Drosophila melanogaster: one gene and its partner. The protein of the gene in region 1 interacts with the protein of each later gene in a pairwise test. Each region holds a gene or a part of one and is shown on either strand. Other genes may lie near its edges. The genes, in order: Acf and Snm1.

Evidence for each region.
Region 2: the proteins of Acf (region 1) and Snm1 interact in a two-hybrid assay, tested with the Drosophila melanogaster proteins (one large-scale study listed by BioGRID).

Annotation. Positions count from the first base shown.
Region 1 is NT_033777.3:31,792,458-31,800,092, forward strand, and holds Acf (ATP-dependent chromatin assembly factor large subunit), read left to right. Parts: upstream 1-1,523; 5' UTR 1,524-1,910; coding exon 1,911-2,032; intron 2,033-2,524; coding exon 2,525-3,755; intron 3,756-3,813; coding exon 3,814-6,176; intron 6,177-6,235; coding exon 6,236-6,411; intron 6,412-6,477; coding exon 6,478-6,916; intron 6,917-6,981; coding exon 6,982-7,081; 3' UTR 7,082-7,342; downstream 7,343-7,635. Other genes in the region: Mccc1 (Methylcrotonoyl-CoA carboxylase 1), read right to left, coding at 1-193, 248-1,013, 1,121-1,161.
Region 2 is NT_033777.3:5,548,706-5,564,162, forward strand, and holds Snm1 (Snm1), read left to right. Parts: upstream 1-6,378; 5' UTR 6,379-6,429; coding exon 6,430-7,496; intron 7,497-7,553; coding exon 7,554-8,007; intron 8,008-8,064; coding exon 8,065-8,835; 3' UTR 8,836-9,081; downstream 9,082-15,457. Other genes in the region: mia (meiosis I arrest), read right to left, coding at 1-483, 888-1,057, 1,118-1,915; Pcmt (Protein-L-isoaspartate (D-aspartate) O-methyltransferase), read right to left, coding at 4,257-4,340, 4,566-4,970, 5,226-5,362, 5,424-5,478; Pi4KIIalpha (phosphatidylinositol 4-kinase II alpha), read right to left, coding at 9,593-9,596, 9,662-9,730, 9,794-10,614, 10,674-10,869, 10,967-11,097, 11,370-11,488, 13,562-14,189, 14,260-14,424.

The DNA of each region.
Region 1 (7,635 bases):
AATCGGTGCCCGTAATCATTTCCGTTATAGGATGCTCCACCTGCAGGCGGGTATTCATTTCCATGAAGTGGAAAGAGAGATCTTCTTTGTCTAGAATGAACTCCACGGTGCCAGCTCCTACGTAGCCCACAGCTTTCGCTGCACGAACAGCAGCCTCGCCCAGCTCACGACGCAAATCTTCCGACAAACCTGGCTGTTGTATAAATGAGCATTATTTTTAAAATAGCCGAAGCTCTTGTGCACTTACAGCTGGCGCCTCTTCAATAATCTTTTGATGACGTCTTTGCACGGAGCAATCTCTTTCCCACAGATAGACAGCATCACCATACTGATCCGCAAATACTTGAACCTCTACGTGGCGTGGAGATCGGACGTACCGCTCCAGAAGCACAGAGCTGTCGCCAAACGACTTCTCGGACTCGGTGCGAGCTGAGTTCAGAGCGGTGAGGAAGTCGTCCGGTTTTTCTGCGATTCTCATGCCTTTGCCTCCGCCGCCGCGGACGGCTTTAATCATCAAGGGAAAGCCAATTTTGTCGGCTTCTCGCTGCAAACACTCATCTGACTGATCATCGCCATGGTATCCATTGATGATCGGCACCCCAGCAGCGGCCATTATGGCCTTGCTGGTGCTCTTAATCCCCATGTCCCGGATGGCGGAACTGGGCGGACCCATGAAGATGATGCCCTCACGCTGGCACAACTCGGCAAACTCGACGGACTCGGAGAGGAAGCCGTAGCCTGGGTGGATGGCCTGGGCGCCCGAACGCTTGGCTATGTCCAGGATGCGTTCACCGCGAAGATAGGAAGCCGAGGAGGCAGCTTCCCCCACGCGGTACGACTCGTCTGCCAACTGCGTGTGCATGCTCTTCTCGTCCGGATCCGAGAACACGGCCACGGTACGAACTCCCAGCTTGCGTGCGGTTCGAATCACCCTGCATGCGATCTCACCACGATTTGAAATAAGGATCTTGCTGATAGGCCGAACTTTTGGGCTGGCTTCTGTTGCAAAGCACCTGCGTCAAGCCAAAACAAATTAGCAAGGTTTATGTAATCGTCAAGAACGAAATTAAGTCTTTTGATTTAGCGGCCTTAACAAAGAACTGCCGATCATTTCCCTCACCTGGCGTTTGCGCCGAAGTTTCGCAGCAGTCTGGCGTACATTATTAGTAGAATTAATTGTAAGAATAAATAACAAATATACTTTATTCAGAGCAAGTGTGCGATCGTCGCTTATCACAGCTGGAAAAACGCACACGCACAAGATCGCAATTGAGATGGGCGACTCACGAGATGCATGGTTGAAAATATTAATGTTTCATATATCTTTTGGGGATTATCATATATCATCAATATCTTTTAGGGAAATTGATATTACGTATATTGTGTTTTTTTTAAGTTGCAACCCATAAAAAATATTACCGTTATATTATTCTGGACTATTTATCGAACTGTTGACATCCATCCGACCGCGTCCTTACGGTTTTCTGCGCTCGTGAAGTTCGGTAACATTGTTCGCAGAAACTCGATAACCGATAGTTTAACGTCGAAGAGCGATAGGCCCCAAAATATGCGCGTGAAAATAGATTGTGCGCTATAAAATAAACGGATTTAGGTAGTTGGTGTTGAGGAAGCCAGCCACAAACATAGTAGAAATTGTCGGAAAAGTGTCGCCCGCCGACAGCTTGTATAATTGCGTCGGAAGTCAACGCGCGTATCGCTGGAAAACCGTTTGCATCGAAAGCCCCTCCGGAAAGGCGTGAAAAGTTGGGCGCCTTTTGCGCTTGTCGCTTGGCGTTGTAAAATTTATCAGTTGCTCCGCGGTTGTTTTTATTGTGAACTGTTAAACGTGCACTTCGAAGGACTGCCATTTAAACTTAAGGACATTCAAGAGCAAAAGGAAAACACCAAACATGCCCATTTGCAAGCGGGAAGGATTCGACCTGAATCAGAAGGAGGGCAAGAACGAAACATTCCACGACAACGACCAGGTCTTCTGCTGCTACATCACTAAGCGCATTTTTCGCGACTATGAGTAAGTGCATCCTGCTACCATTCCTGCAACTGCCCCTTCCCTTCTCCTGCCATTAGGTGGACGCTGCGCTAAAGTATACAACAAAAGCGACGCTGCAAAAGCATTTGCACACGATGTACCGTACATCACCATTCAGTGTGTGTGTGTGTGTGTTCGCAGGGGTGCATAAGTGTGCGAGTCTCGTGGGCCAAAGGCGAAAAAAACGCTGTTCGGTGGCGGGAAGAAATTACAGCTGCCGCCGCACAGCTGCTCGCCGCGGAGTTGCCACCTGGTGCCAAAGCGCGCGCTCTTGAATTTGGAATTTGTTGACCCAATTCGACTTATATGATCCTTCTAGATATTTTTAAGATCAGCAATTATTTAAGAGGCTGGGTAGCGCGAAACTATTTTAATAAATAGCAAACATACTAAATATGTTTTACTCTGACAAGCTTCAATTATATCAAAATAAATTGACCTTAAAACGCTGATCGATTAAATTTATTTATCCAGACACTACTTCCGGCACGTGATGGTGATCAACTCAACGGTGTGGCAGTGCGAGGCCACCGGCAAGGAGAACCTCACCTACGAGGAGGCGGTCAAAAGTGAGCGGGCGGCTCGCAAGAAGATGGAGCAGTTCAAACAGAGCCTTCGGGCACCCGTCCTTCTGGTTGTGGAGCACGCCCAACAGTCGGCGGTCAACACCTTGAACATGATAGTGGCCAAGTTTCTGCGCAAGCGCTACTTTATCGGCGAGGAGGTGTCGGTGCAAGCTAAGAAGAACGCCACGTACACGGTGTTGGGTGTCAAGTTGGACAAAAATATGCCGGAACCACTCAATGGTATCTATGAGGACACGGACAACCTGGTCTACAGACTACGACCAAACAAGGGCGATCCCAGTGCAGAGCTTGATCTGCCCTTTAGGCAATTACGTCGCTCGCGCATGGAGTTTAACCTGGAAAACCTGAGTATGTTTATAAAGAGCAATGTATCGCGGGTGGATGGACTTCTTCGACCCAAGCCAGAGGCATACAAGCAGTACGTGACGGACCCTGGCGTAAACTTCTCCACAATTTTCATTGGCAAAATGCCACGTTATTCTCCCGCTAAGATTAAAAAACCTGACGGCAAGAAGCAATCCACTCTCAACAAATATATTGTCGCCGGTGAAGCAACGGCTGCAAAGTCAAAGGCGAAGGCCAAGTCTGATGCTAAATCTCTGGCAGAGGAATTGGAGCGGGTTAAGCGAGAAAAAGAGGCCAAGCTTATTGAGTTGGAAAAACAAAAGGCGGAAAAGAAGGCACAGTTGATTGAACGCGTTGAAAACGAATGTAATTTACTGCTTCAAAAGACGGACGACCTGGAGAGAACCGACCAAAAAGTCCTGCCCCGCTACAGACAGATCGTCACATTGCTGCCTGAGCACCTCCTGGGTGATGCCTTCATGATGCGCGAGTTTATGCACACTTACACAGGATTGCTGTCCGGCATCGAGGTGTTCCGTCAGAACCTCAGTTTCTACGAGATGACACGTGCACTGACTGCTCGTGAGATTGCGGGCCCACTATCGGACATCCTCCTCGTTCTGCTTGGCACTGTTTTCGATCTGCAAAAAGAAGAGGAGGAGGAATGCGCAGTGACCTACCTCGATCGGGCTGCACAAACTCAGGAGCCCTATTGGAGTATGGCGCAGGCCGCCAAAAGTCACCTTTACGCCAAGAGGCACTTTTCCTTTAAGGTCAATACTTTGTTTGTGCCGACGTGTGTTATCTAAACTAATTTTATTTTCCCAATAGGTAAATGAACTACCATTAGATGCACTGACTCTCAGTGAAGTGCTACGACTGCATCTACTTGGATCCGGAGCTTTTGTAAATGAAAAGGCGGAGCGCTGGAGAGTCATGTACCGGAATGGCTACTCGTCAAAAGAAGACCCTGGTCTGGAACTACGTCTGGAACACTCGCACATCCTGCGCATTCTCAAAAATCATTCCGTATATCAGCTAAAGTTTAAGGATATAATGCTCCTGATTCGCTGCCTGATGTCCCAAATTATGACATACTCGGGCACGATTAACTTGATTGAGGAGCGTATGGAGCAAACAGCAAAGGCCAGGCAAGATCTACGAGCTCTAGTTGTCGGGGAAAATAAGAGATTAGCCGCCGTAGAGATAAACAGGAAAAAACTCACGCAAATGCACCACCTGGAGGTAAATGGCGTTGAGCCTGAAAAGAGGGAAGCGTTGGTCGAGAAATTAAAGAAGAGTATTGCCGAGCTACACGCCCAATCGGATCAGCAACATCGCAAGCACGAGTTGCAGATGCTTAAGTTGCATTCGCAGCTTTTCAATTTTTTGGTTTACTTGGGCATGGATAGGTGCTACAGGAAATATTACGTTTTGGAGTCTATGCCTGGGATCTTTGTCGAGCATTCGCCGGACAGCCTTGACACTTGTTTGGAGCAACCAATAACAAATAAGTCCCAAATAGAAATTCGTCAGCAGTCTGCATTGCCAAAGAATCGCAAGGACCTAAGGGTATATCTACTCAAACTCTACGGAGACGACGAAAAGAAAACTAAGAAAAAGGCCAAGCACTCTCTAGAGAACAAGGAGAACCAAGAGCATCGCCTTAACGGCAGTGCAGAACCCATGGATGTCGAATCTGATTCTCCAGAGGCTCCCACTCATTTTGAGCTCTTGATGTGCAGTGGTGACAAACGATCTTGTATTGTGCATGATTCAAGAAATGGGCAACGGCAGCGTTGGGCATATATTTACAAAGCCGAGGAGATCGATGAATTAATTAAGGCTCTCAATCCCAATGGTCTCCGTGAATATGAACTCCTTCAAGAGCTATCCGTTCTGCGTTCCTTAATCGAACAGCATGCTAAGACCTGCCCAGTAGACTTGCTAAGTCTAGAAAACGAAACAATGCGCAAGAAGTTTATGGCGGCGATGGAATCTGAAACTAACCGTAAATACGGAGAAGCAAACTTTGGGTTACCGAATGGGACCGATCTAAACGAAGTGATGCGCTTGCATTTAGTGGATCGAATTATTCAATTTGAAAATGATATTTACACTGGTGATCTCGGCCGCCTGAAAGTTAAGGATATGGAAAAGTGGCGAAGTGACTTGCTTGGAGGCAATTACGACGCTCAGTGCAAGTTGCAGTGGGGCCCGGGTGGCAAGTTGGAAGATGAAGCTGGTTCTGACAACGAATCCCACGAAACTCACGAGGAGGACGATGGCGCACTATTAGGTAAATATGCCAGGAAACCATATCGCGATCCTGGCATGTATTTGGCAGCTTCTGCAGACACAAAACCCCTACCAGACAGCGACGATGAGGAGGATCAGCATACGAATGCCGTCTCGATTCCTATCGCCGTGCATAACATGGCCTCGGCCCTTCTGCAAGTGGAGCAGGCTATTGGAAAACGGTTTCTGAAGGAACCCTACGGCATGAAGAAGTGGGACCCCAAGCAGGAGGCTTTAAAACTTGCCTGCGACTCGCGTTTGCACCAGTGGGAAGTTTCGCTAATGGAAAGTACAAGCTTTGCTCAAGTCTTTCTGCACCTAAACATCTTGCACGACTGTATTCAGTGGAGGCGTTCCACCAATAAGTCATTATGCAAGGTCTGCAGGCGTGGCAGCGATCCGGAGAAGATGCTGCTGTGCGATGAATGCAACGCTGGCACTCACATGTTCTGCCTGAAGCCTAAGCTGAGGTCTGTACCCCCGGGCAACTGGTATTGCAATGATTGCGTAAAGAGTCTGGGTCTCAGCAATGGTCAAAACGAAAAGGATAAAAAGCAGGCGACAAAGAAGAAACGCAAGTTTATCGTAGAAGAGGAGGATGATGAAGCTACAGACGAAGAAGAGGAAGAGAAAAAGGATGACGATATGACCGATGAGGATGCGGAGCACGAGAACGAAAAACACGATGAGGACGTTGAGGACGACGAAAGTGTGACCTCTACCCCCTCATCTTCCAGAGTCAATGGGCGAATTTTAAGGCGACCCCGCACACGGCCAACAAGCAGAAGACTTACTTCGAAAGAGATCGAAGAACATGCTCAGGAAGACGTTGACAGCGGAGACGTCAGCGATGACGCATCCTTAACCGCCGGTGAAGATACGATCGAAGACGAGTCGTAAGTTAAAAACTGGATTGAAAATTAAATTTAGATAATGAACCCATTGCAATCCACAGAGATGAGGAAAAGGTGTGTCAGAAGTGTTTCTACGATGGCGGTGAAATCAAATGTGTGCAATGCAGGCTATTCTTTCACCTGGAATGTGTTCACCTCAAGCGACCGCCTCGCACAGATTTCGTTTGTAAAACCTGCAAGCCGATGCCACAACGACCTAGGCGCCGGCACAGTAACAGTAAGTCCACAAATTTCTCCTTAATGAATAGCTCACTAATAGCCCGTGTGATTTCTGTCCAACAAGTGAATGGTGATCATGACCGCGATGAGGAGGAGCCAAAAGCAAAGCGACCACGTAACTCTTTGCGCCTATCTATCGACAAGACCGCCCGCCCAAGCAACGGCAACAACAACAACAATAATAACAACAGCAGCGTCAATAACAACAACCATCGCAGAAGCGGGCGTCGGACGAACGAGCACATGCCGTTGAACAGTGCCGCCTTGTACGATCTGCTTGAGCAGATCATGAAGCACAAGGCCGCTTGGCCGTTTCTGCGACCAGTGCTGACATCGGAGGTTCCCGACTACCATCAGATCATCAAAACGCCCATGGATCTAGCTAAAATCAAATCCAAGCTAAACATGGGCGCCTACCAGCTAAACGAGGAGCTGCTCAGCGACATTCAGTTGGTGTTTAGAAACTGCGATTTGTACAACGTAGAAGGCAACGAAATATACGAGTGAGTAGATTGGGATAATCCGTAAGTGGTCTTGTTGTTTATCCTTTATCTTGAATCCGTTGCAGCGCTGGTTGTCAACTAGAACGATTCGTGATCGATCGATGTAGGGACATGCAGCTACCGTTTAGGCCTAGCGATATGAACGGGGAAGTCAAAGCTTGCTGAGCCGGACGCTGATCTCCACCAGCTATCGTGTAAATTAGTTAGTCTACTCTAAGCCGTAGTTGAAAACCATATATATTTAAGCACAAATATTAAGTGTATTTAAAGATCTTTATTTTCGTGCATGTCAGTTCTAAGTTCAGCACACGCATATGCAAAAAATCCTTATCTGTTGGTTTATGAGACTTTATGTATTTATAAATTATTGTAGACACTACGAAAATTCCACAATCAATAAATGAAGTGACCGGAAACAAACGATTCAAAATAAATAAGTAAAAAAAATTGTTTTGTTGGAGGTGTAAAAAGCTAAAATTAAATGAATACAAATTTTAAAAGAGCTTAGCTCTGTATAAACGCAGGAAAAATGGGTAGATGGAGTTTGCCAGTTTTTAAAACAGACGATTTGATCGCAAAAAAAAAAATATTGCTTAAAGAACCTAATTTGCCAAATTCTTTCTTAATCGAGAAAAAAGTGTTGGATGCTGCATTGTTATTATTACTTTTTATGAAATCTAAGCTATGTGTGTTTCACTGGACATTAAAAGTAAGAGTGA
Region 2 (15,457 bases), about 26 Mb from region 1:
CCATTCTTGGGCAGCTGGGTGCCAGAGACAAGATCGTTGGAGCCGACGGATCGAGATCCTTTCCCTCTGGAGTTAAGGTGTTCTGTAGCCATATTTTTCAACTTCAGTTCTGCTTCCGCCTTGGCTGCAGCCACTGCTTGTTTCTTCGTACGCATCACGGTGACGCCATCGCTCATCAGCGTGCCCAAAGATCCATATCTCTCCATAAACTCTTCCGGCAGATCAGGGGGTTGATGTATGCCCATCAGCACGGGAGAGCACATCTTCATCAACCGATGACGAATGTACTTAACTGCTTGCCTGTCTACGCTGGAGCTGGGAGAGTCATTACTGGCGGCCATGTGTGAATCGATGTGTTCAGATAGGTACTTCAATTGAGGCAAAATGCATGCGCGGACCGCATGATTCCCCATCTTTCCCAGGCCTATGACGGCCCCAAACACCGTTGTCAGTGGCTTCTTCAATAGCGCCTTGTTGTAAACACTGGAATATAAATGAATATTTTTTAATCCGATAGAGATTGCAAGCAAAAATCAATTGATTTAGCGAGCAGCGAGATGTTATTTTAATAAACTTTTAGCACACTTCTTTAAGCATGTGGTCGCACGCAACATTTGCGCCATAGACGTTATTATCGCTGTTATCTAAAATTATTATCAATATAAATCGAAGGGGTAAGCAACTTATTTAATTAATAGCTTGGTGGTTATTTCAGATATTATATGATTTACAATGAGTTAACGTGAAACGAGCTACGTTAGGTATTTTGTAACGACATATTAATATTAATTAATATGATTATATTCCTCTACCAGATGGATTTCTCTCTAATAAAATGATATGAATTCACAAATAACCCAAAGAACCCACACATGATGAGTACTTGCCCAATGACTCTGGGCAGGATGCCGTTGTCGGCAGCGTCGAACTGGCGCACTATGTGGGCCATTATGTTTCCGGAGTATTCCCTTAAGGCCCAGTGATCCTCCGAGTTCGGAGATGCGCACACTTGTTTGGCCAGCAGGCAGGATAGAACGGCTGGCAGGAGCAGGTGGAGCTGCAATTCAACAGATGCATTCTTCAGCTTATCCTATTCCTCTCAGAACCAAATACTTACATATTGCAATAGGCTGAAGCGCTGGTTTCCCAAAAGAGCTCGGACCATGCGCATAAGGTAAAGGAGCAGCGGCAGGTTCTGCTGGGCCACGTTGATAGCCACTGCGTCCGCAATGAACTTGGTCAACCTGGGCAGCAACTCCTCCAGCGAGGGATCAGTGGAGATGGCTTTGAGAGCAAGCACGCGCCGGGATTCCAAGTCGCCTACGCAGGCCTCGGTTACCAACTCGAAGAAGTTCTGCTGTTCCATGCTCAGCGGATAGCGCTTGCTGGGCTTTAGCAGCACCTGCTCCACCTTTAGCCACCCGGTGTGCATGGGAGGCGGCTCCAATGAAGTCTCCGGCACGGGTTCCGGCACAGATTCCTGCACGGATTCCGGGTAGGAAACGAGAAGTTCATCCTTTTTTTCGGCGGTTACAGCTTCGCGGACGGTTTTTAATACTTTTTGGGAAGGAGGCATTTTGCAATCGTCGCAATGGACCAGCCTAAAAAAGATGTCATAGCAGAGGTCGTCGTGCATTCGGACGGCATGCTGGATGTGAGACAGTTGCAATCGCCGATCCCGGATGCGCCGCATGTATTTTCCAGCCTCGTTTAGCAGATTTGTAATGTCTTCCTTAACATTGATGGATAGCCACTGTGCTACTCCGTCGTCCAGATGCAGACCAGTGCTGTGGAAGAATATCGCGGATAGAGAACGCGGCGACAAAGAATGTCTGCGAAAACTTTTGTCCTTGTCGGGCATTTCATTCTGAGACGTTTTCATTTTAGTTGCGTTTTTGTTTTCAAACTGCCACATTTTGGCACTAGTGATGCCACTGGTCGATAGGCGATGCACGACGCCGTTATCGGTCAGAAAGGGTCGTCACTCGATACCGATACCCGCCAATTGAATTTTCAAAAATATCAAGCGAGAGTTTCAAATGCGGCTTGTTTGATTTTTTTTTGAATGTCAGTTCAACATTGGCAAAGCTTGCCACAACCTATCCGAGGAGTAATACTGTTTCCAACAAAAACACTTCATAACCAATTATTTTAGCTTAGCCGGTTATTTAATTACAAAGTTAATTATATTATATATCATATATATCATCATCACATATATGTGGGTTGTATTACGTGGTCCACAATTTGGTAGCTAGGTTAATTAGGTTAATCATCATTGACGGTTGCACTCCGGATACACTTAAAAAACAATATATCCCTAATAGCACAGATTCACTTCCCATCATTGTTGATTTTGTACAAACTTACTTAATATAAAAATAAAACTGTTCATTTAATAAACCGCGTTTTTAGACTTTTTTGTGTAATGTGTGCCCTCTGGGAGAACTTCCCAGGTCGAGCTCCTTTCGACTACTGCCCTTTACAGCATTTCCACAACCGACTGAACCTGACTTTGACATAATTGTCAAGTGAAATTGTAGAAACCGCCTAGTACGAATGGGAATAGGAAAGTCCGTATCAGTTTCATACAGTTTGGTATATATATATATATATATATACATACTATACTATATTTGCGATTATTGTTTAAAATTTGTTTTGCACTGATTTAAAGTGTAATCTCCAATATTTATATCAATAATTTTACTCAAAATATTTCCCATGCTGTCGCATACGAGAGGTAACGCCTTAGTCGATTTTTAGATACCCGTTACTCAGCTAGTGCAAGTGCGAACCAAAATTTCATGTACTTTCTCTGGGATATCGATTGGGTATAAAATGAGACAAAATGTGTAAGAAGGGGCGTTGCCAAAATGCTTTTGGTATACCGATAGAAATGGGTAAGATAATCCATAAAACGGAAAAAAATAAAAATATTTTTCCAAAAAGTCGGCTTGTCAGCTTTTGGTAGTTTGTGGGCATAATAGTGGGCGTGGCAAAAGGTCAAATCTATAGAAATGTACATATATTGTATAATTAATATAAAACAAGAAGGAATGTTATAGTCGAGTTGCCCGACTATCTGATACCCGTTCCTTACCTAGTGTGAATGCGAACGTGAAATTCCATCATTATTCATCATTATAAAAATTGTTCAAAAGTGTGGGCGTGACTTGGTGTCTTTAGGGTGTTAGAGTGGGAGTGGCAAAAAGTTTTTTTCATATCGATAGAAATTTGAACGTCTAATAAAATTGAGAAAAATTTGCTTGAATGTGGCCGTAGCAGTTTTGGGCGGTTGAAGGGAGTTAGAGTGGGCGTGGCAAAAAATCTAGAGAAACTGTATTTTTGCTTAAAATTATTAACACATTTTTCAAAATTGTGGGCGTGACATTTTTGTGCGGTTTGTGGGCGTGCCAACATAGGTCAACAAACTTGCGCTGTGTCGATGTCTCTAGAATGCTGAATCTTAATCTTCTAGCTCTTATAGTTCCTAAGATCCCGTTCATACGGACAGACGGACATGACCAGATCGACTCGGCTATTGATCCTGATCAATAATATATATACTTTATATGGTCGAAAACGCTTCCTTCTGCCTGTTTTCTACTTTTCGAAGAATCTACTTATAGTCTACTTATTTACTCTACGAATAACGGGTATAAACGTAATTTTTTTAAAACATCCTGATTAAATAAATGGTAATGCTGTTCCTGAATGTTTTAGGGACACTTTTGGTGTTTTAGCACTTGATTAAATTGTGACTGATTAAATTATATTTTACGTTCCGGACATCTATAGTTCACTTGTTGGATCTCAATTTATAAATGTCTATGATGGTGAGCTGGTTTGATGAAACAAAGCCAGTCAACTATTTAAAACTTAACCATTCGAAGTATAAGTATTTAATTAATAATATTAAGCACGAATATTTAACAATTATCCTATTCTTCATCACTATTAAAACTAAATCTGTAAATCGGGGAAAAATTCTTAAAGGTGTAGTTAAAATTTATCTCACTACGGACATAAAAAAATTATGATTTCATTAATGTAATATGAAATGTTGAAGCTGCTTGGTAACTTTAAACAAAAAAACGAAAAGACAGCGTTTGTTCGGTAAACTTATATATTTGCACTCAACGTGAAAAAAAGCAATTTAATTTTGATTGATTGATTAACTAGTAAGCCAAAATTAGGTAGAGAAAAAACACGAGCAGCAGCACCGCAACGAGCGACCTTCCCACTCTGTGCAGTCAGGAGCGAAGATCCGTGAGAGGGACGTACATTACGCCCATGAGACGTGTCATCTCCACCTTCCCATTGGCGTCCTTGTCGTACTGTAAAAATGGTTATATTATTATATATTATTATATATTATTATGTATATTATTATATATTATTATGTATATTATTATATATTATTATGTATATTATGATATATATATATTATTATGTATATTATTATATATATATATTATTATGTATATTATTATATATATATATATTATTATTATTACATATACATATTATTCCAGCAGTTATACGAATCAGCATCTGCCCACCTGTTGCATGTACTGAGACCCGCCGTCGGGACCGACTGGAACTATCAGGCGTCCGCCGCTGGCCAGTTGGTTGATGAGTTCGGTGGGTGTGTCGGGAGCAGCTGCTCCTACATGGATTGCATTATACGGGGCGTTCGGGGGGTATCCCTTGCGGCCGTCACCCTCGACGATCAGCAACTGGCCGGAGTCCAGCATGCTACGGTCGTCGGTGTTTAAGTTGGCCTTGCTCCGCCGCACCAGCTCTGCCTGGTGCTCTATGCCCACGATTCGGGTGTCCGCATCAACGCCCTTAGCCTTGATGTAACGATAGAAGCAGGCTGTGAGGTAGCCAGATCCAGAGCCCACATCCAGTATACGTGCACCGGGCTTCAAGTGGTCGCGTAGATACTCCAAGGCGAAGGCATGCTGGGAAAGAAAAATGTATTAATCTCCAGTTTAAAAAGACACTTTACTTTCAGAAATTATAAGAATATGATGGGAAGAAGCTACGGGAGTGAAGAACTAGTCTTCAAATGATGAGCCATTGATATGTTTTTAGTGGATTAAAGAAAGCTACTTTTTTATGCTGCCTCCTAAAAGCATCTTGAGTGTGGGCATTGACTCCCACAGCAAACATGGCGAGCAAACTATTTGTTTTTCAATGTCCTGGCTAGGAGTTACCATGTGAGGAGCACTGATGGTGACACCTCCTCCAATGGGTTGCGGGGCGTCCATGTAGGGGTTGCGCGGAGAGTAGTGCTTGCGGTCGGTTTCCTTCATCGCCTGGGCCACCGCATCACTTGCAATGACGCCGTGATCTTGGGGATTCGGTTCTATTATTAACTCGGCCCATTAAACGGAGCGAATTCAAGGGCTCACCCTTCAGTTGGCGAATCAGGTCTTCATTATTGGCTCCCACGGATCGCCACGCCATGCTGAAGGCGCGGAAGAAGAAGCCCAGTTTACCAATCCGCACCACAAGATTCCCTTTTTCCACCGTCTTGTTGTTTTGTTTAGTTTGTTATAATATTGTACCAGAGGTGGCAGGCCAACGATAACACTGACAAGCAATCGACACATTCAAGCAGTACTCATACATCAACTGAGTTTTGGGTCGTATGTCCTGCATCTAATAAGTTTAACTCCTCTGTTGAATTTATATTGAAATAATATCTGTTGAATATATATAATATCGATAGTTGCATAACATTTTCAGTTCAATAAAAATATCACTGGTCGAACTTTAATAACTAAAAGTGAACATGCTGCTATGTACATGGATATGTAAAACATCTAAACCCGTGCTGTCACTGCTGTGCAGGTAATATTATATTAAAATTATATAAAATATATATACATATATTTTTTTAAACTTTTTTTTTTTAAGTTTAAATCATTTATTATTATGCATTAGGAATCGTTCAGTTCCTTCTGAACTTAACCTAATGTGTAGCTTAAAAGATATTATGGATTCTGTTCCTTAATTATAGTGTACACATATGTACCGTGGAGAGATTATTGTATTCTCTTCAGACGTCGGAGGGAAATAAGGTCGACAAGATCATTCGCCAACGTGTTCGGGTGGGCGCTAAGTCTGTCGGCATATCGGCTGCTGTGGAAGTTTATTTGGTCTCCCAATGGTATGGCTGCGTTTAAGCAATGAATTGCATTTAATCGTGGTCCCTGCCATATTCCTAATCCTTTCCCGAAAATCGTTAAAAAGATTATATATACTTAATTTTTGCTTGAGAGATATGGCGGCAATTTAAATTAAGCGCTTGATTTTAGTATGACCTTGTGCTTTATCGCCTGTCGATATGATAAAAGCGGTTTCTCTGGCAATCGAACCGTGCGATCCTGGCCCTATTTGTTATATGTAAACAGGATGTCCAATGTAGGGAAAATAAAGATAAGATCCATTGCGGATCTGCAGGCCACAGTACGAGTAAATGTAGAACCGGACCCAACGCCCACGATCGAGAACAGAACGCCGGACAAGAAAAGAGCGGGAAGAACTCGTGCGGCTTCCACGACAAAAAAGGTCCGACCAAAGACGGAAGCATGTCCAATCATAGCCAGCACTGCGTTCAAGCGTTCCAGCAAGAAGACTCCGCTGCCAGGACAAATGCGCATCGATAGCTTTTTTACAAGTGCCGTCAAGAACTACAAAGTCAAGTCAAGTTCCTCTTGCAGGAAGGTGGATCCTCCGTTGGACAAGCGAAAGGTATCTACCAAAGGGCGCAAGCGCCTCTTCGAGGAGTCTACAACAACCTCATCTGCCTTTACGGGCAAGCTGGATGCAAAGCCGTCAGAGAAGCGAGTGCAGCCTAGTCGCCGTGCGAAAGGCAAGGAGAACGCTAGCCTCTCCGAAGTGCACGTAATTGACCTGTGCTCCGAGGACGAGCAGACCATAAAAAGAAAGCCATCCGCGATAGCCTCTCCCTGTGAAAAAAGCAGCGATGTCCAAGCAACCAAGTTTAGAACTCCAGAGACTTCCATGCCAGAAGCCAAGCTAAGCAATTCCAGCCTAGACCTAGTGGAAATCTCCCCCGGTCCCAACAAATCCCCAACGAATAACTTTTACCGGTCATCGCCGGCTGCAATCACAAAGGAAAGCCCCCTGGGCAAAAACTCTAAAAAAGGAACTGTACGCAAACAAAGAAAACCAAAGCCTTGTCCGCCCTATAAAGTAGTGGAGGGTACATCCTTCTGCGTCGACGGCTTTCAGTTTGGGGAAATAGAGGGAGTCACACATTACTTTCTCACGCACTTTCATGCGGATCACTACATCGGCCTGACTAAAAAGTTCTGCCATCCCCTCTACGTGAGTCCTATTTCAGCGCGCTTGGTGCGAACGTTTATTAAACTCGATGAAACGCACATTCACGAAATTGATGTGGACCAGACCCTGGACGTAGATGGCGTCCAAGTAACCGCCTTAGAAGCTAACCAGTAAGAGCAGTCGCTTTTTTTTGGCAGCTTACCAAACTGCTATTTCTCACCTTTCAGCTGTCCTGGAGCACTCATGTTCTTCTTCAAACTGAGCTCTGGCGAATGCATACTGCACACCGGGGACTTCCGAGCTAGCGCGGACATGGAATCCCTACCAATCTTCTGGAACCATTCAAACATCGACCTGCTTTATCTGGACACAACGTATATGAACAAAAACTACGACTTCTGCCACCAAAGCGAGAGCGTTGACCGAGCGGTGGATCTGGTGCGCGCCTTCCTAGAGAAAAATGCAGCCAAACGAATCCTTATCGTCTGCGGCTCCTACGTGATAGGAAAGGAGAAGATATGGTTGGCCTTAGCGAAGGAGTTCACAATGAGGGTTTGGACGGAAAGCAATCGCAGCACTGCAGTAAGATGCCTGAATTGGCCGGATCTAGACTCCGTGCTAACAGAAGATCGCAGCGGAGCAAACTTGCACGTCATTGCAATGGGAAAAATCAGCTATCCGGTAAGTGTATTTCTAAAATATATCAATTTTTTAGTTAGCGATATTATTTTGTTTCAGAGCCTAGTCGATTACTTTACTGAATTCGAGGACCAATATGACATGTTGCTGGGCATAAGGCCCAGCGGTTGGGAAAAGAACTCAAAGCCTTCGTACGGCAAGCGAATTAGCACGATCGGCATTGAGTACTCAGAACACTCCAGCTACAAGGAGTTGGAGCGCTTTGTTCGCTTCCTCAAGCCAAAGCGAGTCATAAGCACCGTTCCCGTGGGCCGCGATCTCTATGTCACTGGAGAGGTGCCCATACGGTGGTACAAGTACGAAGGTCGGGCATCTATGCTGCGTACTGGGTTTCAGCCTTCGATATCCACTTTCCTAGCTACGCCGAAGCGAGCTTTTGCAAAATTCAGTGCAGATACTGAAATGTTCTTGAGCCCCGTGGATGAGAATGCTTCCAAAGGGAGTGAAGATAAGAAAGACGATGACCGGGAGTCCGTGGTGCCAACGAATCATGTAACTATTATATCCGACACTCCGGAAGAGTGTTTTCAAACTGATTCCAAGATACCAGTTAAAAACGAGCCTCTGGCACCGGACACGTCACCGAATTCTGAAATAGTTGCACAACTCAATGCGATGGAATCCGAAATTCCATATGTTGAAATAGACATTAAAAACGAAACTATCGCACCTGATGCAGTCCTCATACCTCGTGTCCCAACGGAAGATACATTTCAAAGTACGGATTGCAATGTTATTGGTGTCCAGAAAAGCCAGGCAGTCGTGGTTAGTAGACTGACATCCGATGCATCAGACGATTGGCTCCTGTAGTGATTAAATTTCGGATAAAAAAGTCCTTTGGATTTAAGTATGGCTGCTAGTAGTTTTAAGATATTTTGTTATGAAATAATAAGGTATATACATACTTATGTTCGAAAAGGGCTTTAGTTTCTGTTAAACTTTTATAATGTTTTAATATCTTTTATATAAGGCTTGCCTTTTAAATACTTTACATATGTATTTTGGTTGATATATATATATATTCCCACACTATTTAGTTGCGAACCGTACATAATGAAATAAATTGAGTTTTAGTTTGGAGGAAAGGAAACCATTAAATATGTGCTAATGCTAATAACAATGGGCGACCTTAACTCAAGTGCTAACGAATGTAAATGAGCTTTGTATTTTTCACCTATATGCATTATGATTTCATTCAAATAATAAAGAAATGTATAAACCACTTGAGCGAGTGCTTTAAAATGATCTCCTTCTGATTTCTGCATACTTTATGCGAAAACAATTGACTATACAAGCACTTGACAAACATAAGATATTTCCTAAATATGTAACCATGGTATGGGTAAGTCATCCCAGAAACTAGTAATACAAGTAATTAATTATTGAATATGACCATTTGAGTTTTTTGGCAAAAAATACATTTCTAGGCTCCGTGCTCCGTGATTACGATTTGGAAGTATACTAGACAACAACTAAGCGCATATACATGATGAAAAAGATGAGACTGTAGTAACCGGCTGCTCGATTTGATTTTTGGTGGGGTCGGCAGGGGCTGCTCCATGGTCATTTAGCTAAAAGTGAAGTAAGTGGCTAGTAAGTGACAATGCGACGAAGTACCAATGAATCGGCAACCTACCACCAAGAGAAGAAAGGGCTCTTATTTTGGAAGCGCTGCGTAAAAGAGAAGAAACGACTGCCACTTGATCTGAAATGTTAGAAACCATTATTGGCCTCCTATAATCCGGAGTCATGAAAGTATGATACTTACCGCTCGACAATCACCGCTGGCATCTGGACCAGTTGCACCGGCGACTTGCCATCCCTCAGTGCCTGTGTGAGATTTAGAATCTGGCCCCGCATCACCGACATCTGGCGCTCGAAGAGACGCTTGTCAAAGCCGCGATCCTGCTGGAAGAGGTACAACAACTCCGTGCAGATCTCCTCTACAAAGTTCATATCTGACAACTGCGGCAGCACCTGCTCCTTGATTTCTTCGCTAAACGGAATTTTCGCCTGTGGCAACCAGGCCCAATGGTAGGGATAAGCTCGCCAAGAGTCCGGATGCTTGAAGGGAAAAGCGAGACCATTGTCGATGGCAGCGATCCGAATGAAGGCCGAGTTCACCACATTCCAATCGGGTTCCGACGTAGGGGGGGATCTCGACGAGGGTTCATCTTCGCTGCTGGCCAAACTGCTGCTATCTTGCTGTGCACTTGTGGCTGCTCCACCCGCTAGGTGGTTCGAAGGGCGACCACCAGTAGTCGGTTTCGGGCTAGCCTGCGGCGGCTCGTTTAGGTCAACGATTTTTGAAGCCCCCAACGCATTGGGCAATTTGGGGGTCACAACTCCGTGCATAGTTCTGCCGCCAGTGCCTCCCACCTGGGTCGTGATCTTAGGGGCCACGTACTTGATCAGCCAGTTGTCGTTGCCACGGTCCGTGTTGCGTATGATATAATCGAGCACGACGAGGCGCTCGAACTGCAGTTGGAACGACTTCGCCACTGAAGGCGGCAAGGGTTCGCTTTCAAAGCGCCGCAGCCAATAGTCCGCATCCTTGTAACCCTCCACGAAGAGCTGAAAGGAGCCAGTCTGCAAGGAATTTTGACTTGGTTAATACCCAATCGGTTTGTTTTTGGAGACGAGTTCACCTTTAGAGGAAGGCTCATTCGGTTGAAGTGAGCCGACGGATAGTGCTCTTTAATGCGCTTCTTCAGCTTGGCCTTCTGTCGATCAATGCGTGCGTAGTTAAAGCTCTCGGCAACCAATCTGACCACTCGCGTCTTTGGAACCACATTCAGATTGAGTTTTCGATCAACCAAGCTGGCTCCTGATTCGGAGAGGTACCTAAGAAATATAAATACCATTTTAATATATATATCAACAAATGAAATAAGTTCCTCAATTGGCTTTTAATGAATGGTGACAACTTGTATTATCTTACCCCTGATTGGGAATCAAGCAAGCTCGGCCAAAACAACACGGGCAGCACAGCTTATGCATCCATTTCGTCCACTTCGGATTCAGTCTGCCATAGGGTTCCTCGTCCTTTGGCTTAAATACGGCCAGGCATTGCTAAGGGGGAGCATCATAAGAAATGGCATAATAAATACATAGAGCATAAGCGGGTAAACAATATACAATTCACTATTTTGAAACTGTTTCAGGAAAAAACCAAAAGTTTTGCAAAAGCCTTATATTTGCAGTACTTCCCCGATTACCCGATCTTATTTATCTATGCGCGGAAAAGTAAAAGATCGACGAAGTTAGGCCCAGAACTGGACGACCCAACTCCCACCTTATGCGCAAGAACGGCTAGAAGATCGTCACCCCGATTCCCTACTCACATGGGAGGCATCCTTGACAAAGTAGGAACCACTGCTACCCTGGTAAATGCGCTCGGGCAGCACACCATTCTCGATGGCCCCCTCCGCCTTCGCCACGATCTCCGAGAAAAGCGGGTCATCTATAAGAATCAAAGATTAAAATTAAAAATAGGCATTAGCACTAGGGCTTTAAATTACTAAAAAAGTTTGTGCGTAGAACGAAGATTCGCATGCCTCAAGCGACGGGTAAAAAACGGACTGTTCGTCATTTATTAAAATTGAACAAATTTGCTATATAATTATGGTTTTAATAATTTATAAACACACCAACGAAATAACGTGCCATCTGTTGGATAAAAATAATTACAGCAAACATGCACGAAAACGCTTATAAGACTGCGATGAAATTCAAGACCCCATCCTACACTTTACTTTATATCAAGGAATGGCATAGGACTGTTGACTACGCTAATCCTCTCCACGCTACCTATGAAATCAAAGTTGTCGTTGAAATCGCCCTGCAAGTCCTGGCAAATGGTAAACACTTGCGGTATGAAGTTTTCGCGACTGCTGCTCGACAAGCGCGACATGGAGGCACTGGTATATTAAGTGCGCCGGCAGTCGAGAGGTTTCGAGTCGGCTGGCAGTTGATAAAGGAGAACCAGGTCACAATTAGCATAGCCAAAGCGTTTCGATAAGGGCCAACCCCTTGCCACCACTTACAGAGGTTCCTCAGCGGGCAGTTGGCACAATTGCAGCGCGGAGCCGCGATTTGAACGGTTACTGTGTCTTTGGAGTCACGCGCCATCGACGGTGAGTTCACCAGAAAGGGCGGATCGCCCTCCTTGTCCGACTGCGACTCCAAGAAATCCTTCTCCAGCGGGCACTTGTGCTCGCAACAGATGCAGGCGTAGGCGGCGGAGGCGGAGGGCACCGAGGAGCTGCTCTCCAGCGCATCCTTGCTTGTCGTGGGCTGCTCATCGTCTCTTGGTTCGCTTGGCTCTTGGTACTTGGCTGCTATAGCGTTCGGCAACGGCACCTGGCTGAGAAACGACTTAATGTTGTTTTTCGGCATGGGGCTATGTCCAATTGGCGACAGTTGCCAAAGGAACAAGTTCCATTTTTGAAGTGCCTTCCTCGAAATTCTTTATATGCTTCCCGACTGACTTCGATTCCGAGCTACAGACGTCCACGGTGACATCCAAGTACACCAAGATTTATAACACACAATTTTGTGCTCAATTTCGAAAAAAAACTAATTCTTGTAAAAACCATAAAATTGTAAAAAATGCTTTGAAATGTGGGGCGATGACTATAGGATTAACATACAAAGGGCAAGCGAAATATGGCCATCTAGTGATATTCAGTACTGAGTAAAACGATTGCAAAAAGAACAGACAAACTATAAATCGCTTTCGGAAGTTATTTCGAAATGCAACGAAAACAAATCGGAGGGTATTACTCATCAGCGTATGTTCAAAGGCAGCAGAGCAGTGCGAATCACCTGAGTCACAAAGGTCAAAGATCTAGATGAGTACTCATTTGGCAGTGTATATCGCTCCCACAACACACTCTACATATATCTATAAAAGTTAGCTCAATTCCCTGCACAACGTACAAATTGACTAATATTTGAGTAAGCACTTCATGGACTAACCAATAGAAATGTGGTTATTCTTATGATTGCATTGATTCATATATGTATTATTTATCTTAGCAAGGGAATACAAAAGCAGTTTGTATTAGTTTTTAAATAAATCTAAATGTAAATAATTCTTTTGGAGGACGGAAATGCTTGGGTTGACCAGGGTGCTTTTGTTGACTTTAATTTAAATTTAAAACGTATAGCAGCTAGGAATCTAACCCTTATCATTCTATTTAAGAGTCTTTTTGGTTCATTTGGTCGGACATTTTGTCTAGTTTATATTCACGTTTAGTTTATATTCAAGTATGTAACAGAGGCGAAATAGCTAGTTTCCAGTTACAGATCCTCCCCGTATAAAAGAAATTAGATGAAGTTGAATGAATAACATCGAGGCCCTAAATAATCTGTTCTAAGCTTGCGCTGCTTGTGGAGATAGAACCACCATATGTAGCCGTAGAAGTGATAAGCACATCATGAGTAAAGCCACAAAGCAAACAAGGCAGCAATGTGGTCTGGGTGTGGTAGGAAATGCAACTTGTACGACTTCATTAGACCGCTGCGCACTCACCGCCAAATGTGTTCGATACAAACTCCACATGATCGTGCCCGCGTCCTAGTCCGCCCAAAAGCTCGCTGATGCGACTTCCGTGACTGGCATTGCCTCCCCCCAAGAGCGGCTGTGACTCCCGGTTGTCGCTGCCGGCGTCCGTGGACATGCCCTCGAAGTCGATTTCTGGCACCAGGCAGATGTCGTCGGCCTCGTCATGCGGATGACGGGCGAGAGCAGTGTGCGAAGTGGTTTTCAGCGGAGATGTCAATGCAGATGAGGCTACCTTCGCGGGTGCGATGTGACAAATAATCGGTGGCTGTTGGCTGCTGCTGTCGATGCTATCCTCAGCGCTACCTTTGAGTCTTTGGTTGCGCGGGTTTGAGCTTCTCTTCAGCAGCACAGCTTCTTCGCCATCTTCGTCGTCGATCTGGTCGTCGTAATGCATGACCAAGTTATCCAGTTGCGGTTTCTGAATAACAGCATCGCCGCCGGCACTCTCCTCGCCTGGCGGCAGCCCGTTGGTGTGGTTCCTCTCCTCTTGCGCCTCTTCCTCGTCATCCTCGTCGTCCACCGACAGTAGCATGGGTTCCCGCGCCTTTTTCCCTCTTCTCCTTGTCTTGCGTTTGCCCATGCCGACGGTGTTGATCTAAGGAAAAAGTCAGTTCATATTGCCATATGTATTGCAGAAGGTGAGGTTGAGAACGGAGTGCACTCACCTCAACTTTGGTGGTCAACTGGTTGCTTGTCGACTCGAAGCCATTTAAAAGCGGAGACAGTTGGTTTCTGGGCGGAGGTTGGTCCTTGGCAAAGTCCCCGATGAGATCCACCTCGTCCTCGAGCTGGAGCAGCGGGGGATCCGTCTGATCCCGAGCGCCGCTCATGTTCGCACTGAGCAGGGGGTGGCAGGCACGTGGGTGATTGGGCGTGGGTCAAGAGGGCTGGATGAGTGGGAGGTGCCGTTGCCCTCAATCCGCAGCTGACGGAACAACAAAGGCCCGCGCTGTGCTGCAGCTTCTTCTTGCGCTTCTATCCGCGACTTTTTGGGCGTCGCTTGGTTCTGTTATCTGCTCCTCCGCTTTTCCTCCGCTCGCATGTTCCTGCACAATATGCTTATATTATTCGGGCTGCAAGTTGATTACATTACTTGCTAATTGCTTCAATTTTGTGCTTCTATTTCGTTTGGCAATTTATTATCGATTTTTGGTTTAGAACCCCAGCTTCTGTCCCAGTTTTATTTCAGAAACGGATCTTGGGACGCGGAGGATCTCAAACACCATCGAGATAGGGACTCACCATGCACTCCGCAAATGTAACAAGTGAATTACGCGTTCGATTTAATTTTCGCTAAGAACACGAAGCGAAAAATGGTTGACAAATCAAACAGCTGACGAGTAGAATTCGCGGTACTGCCCACTTGCTGGTTCTGCACTCGCCGAGTGGCAGCCTCGCACATGAGAGCGCTGAGCGGAAATATTTAAAATTTAGGCGTACTAAAATATCAAGATAAGGTTTGTGGAAGTCTATATTGTATAAATTAGCTAAATAACAGTGCAAAAATCTTTGTTTCTAACTCTTAAAGGTTAGAAAAACGTGTGAAAGTAGAACTAAAGACAAGGGGAGCCAATTTATGGACTTCTTATTCTGTGAAAAACTAATTGGCTTACTAAAATAAGAAAAATTCTAAGCTCGATATAAATATGTAGTCCATTTTAATAATGTTTGTTATTTGATACTAAAGAAAAGGCATTTCTGGGCGTCATTTATAGGTTTTTTTAAACGAGGTGGGATCATACGTCAGATAATTATGAAATTGACGTTTCAGATAGATCAACAATAATTTCTCGCATATCTTCTTCATCGAGAGTCAGTGAGTGCTGTTTCAATAATGTTTTCAAATCTACTTTATTCTTAACA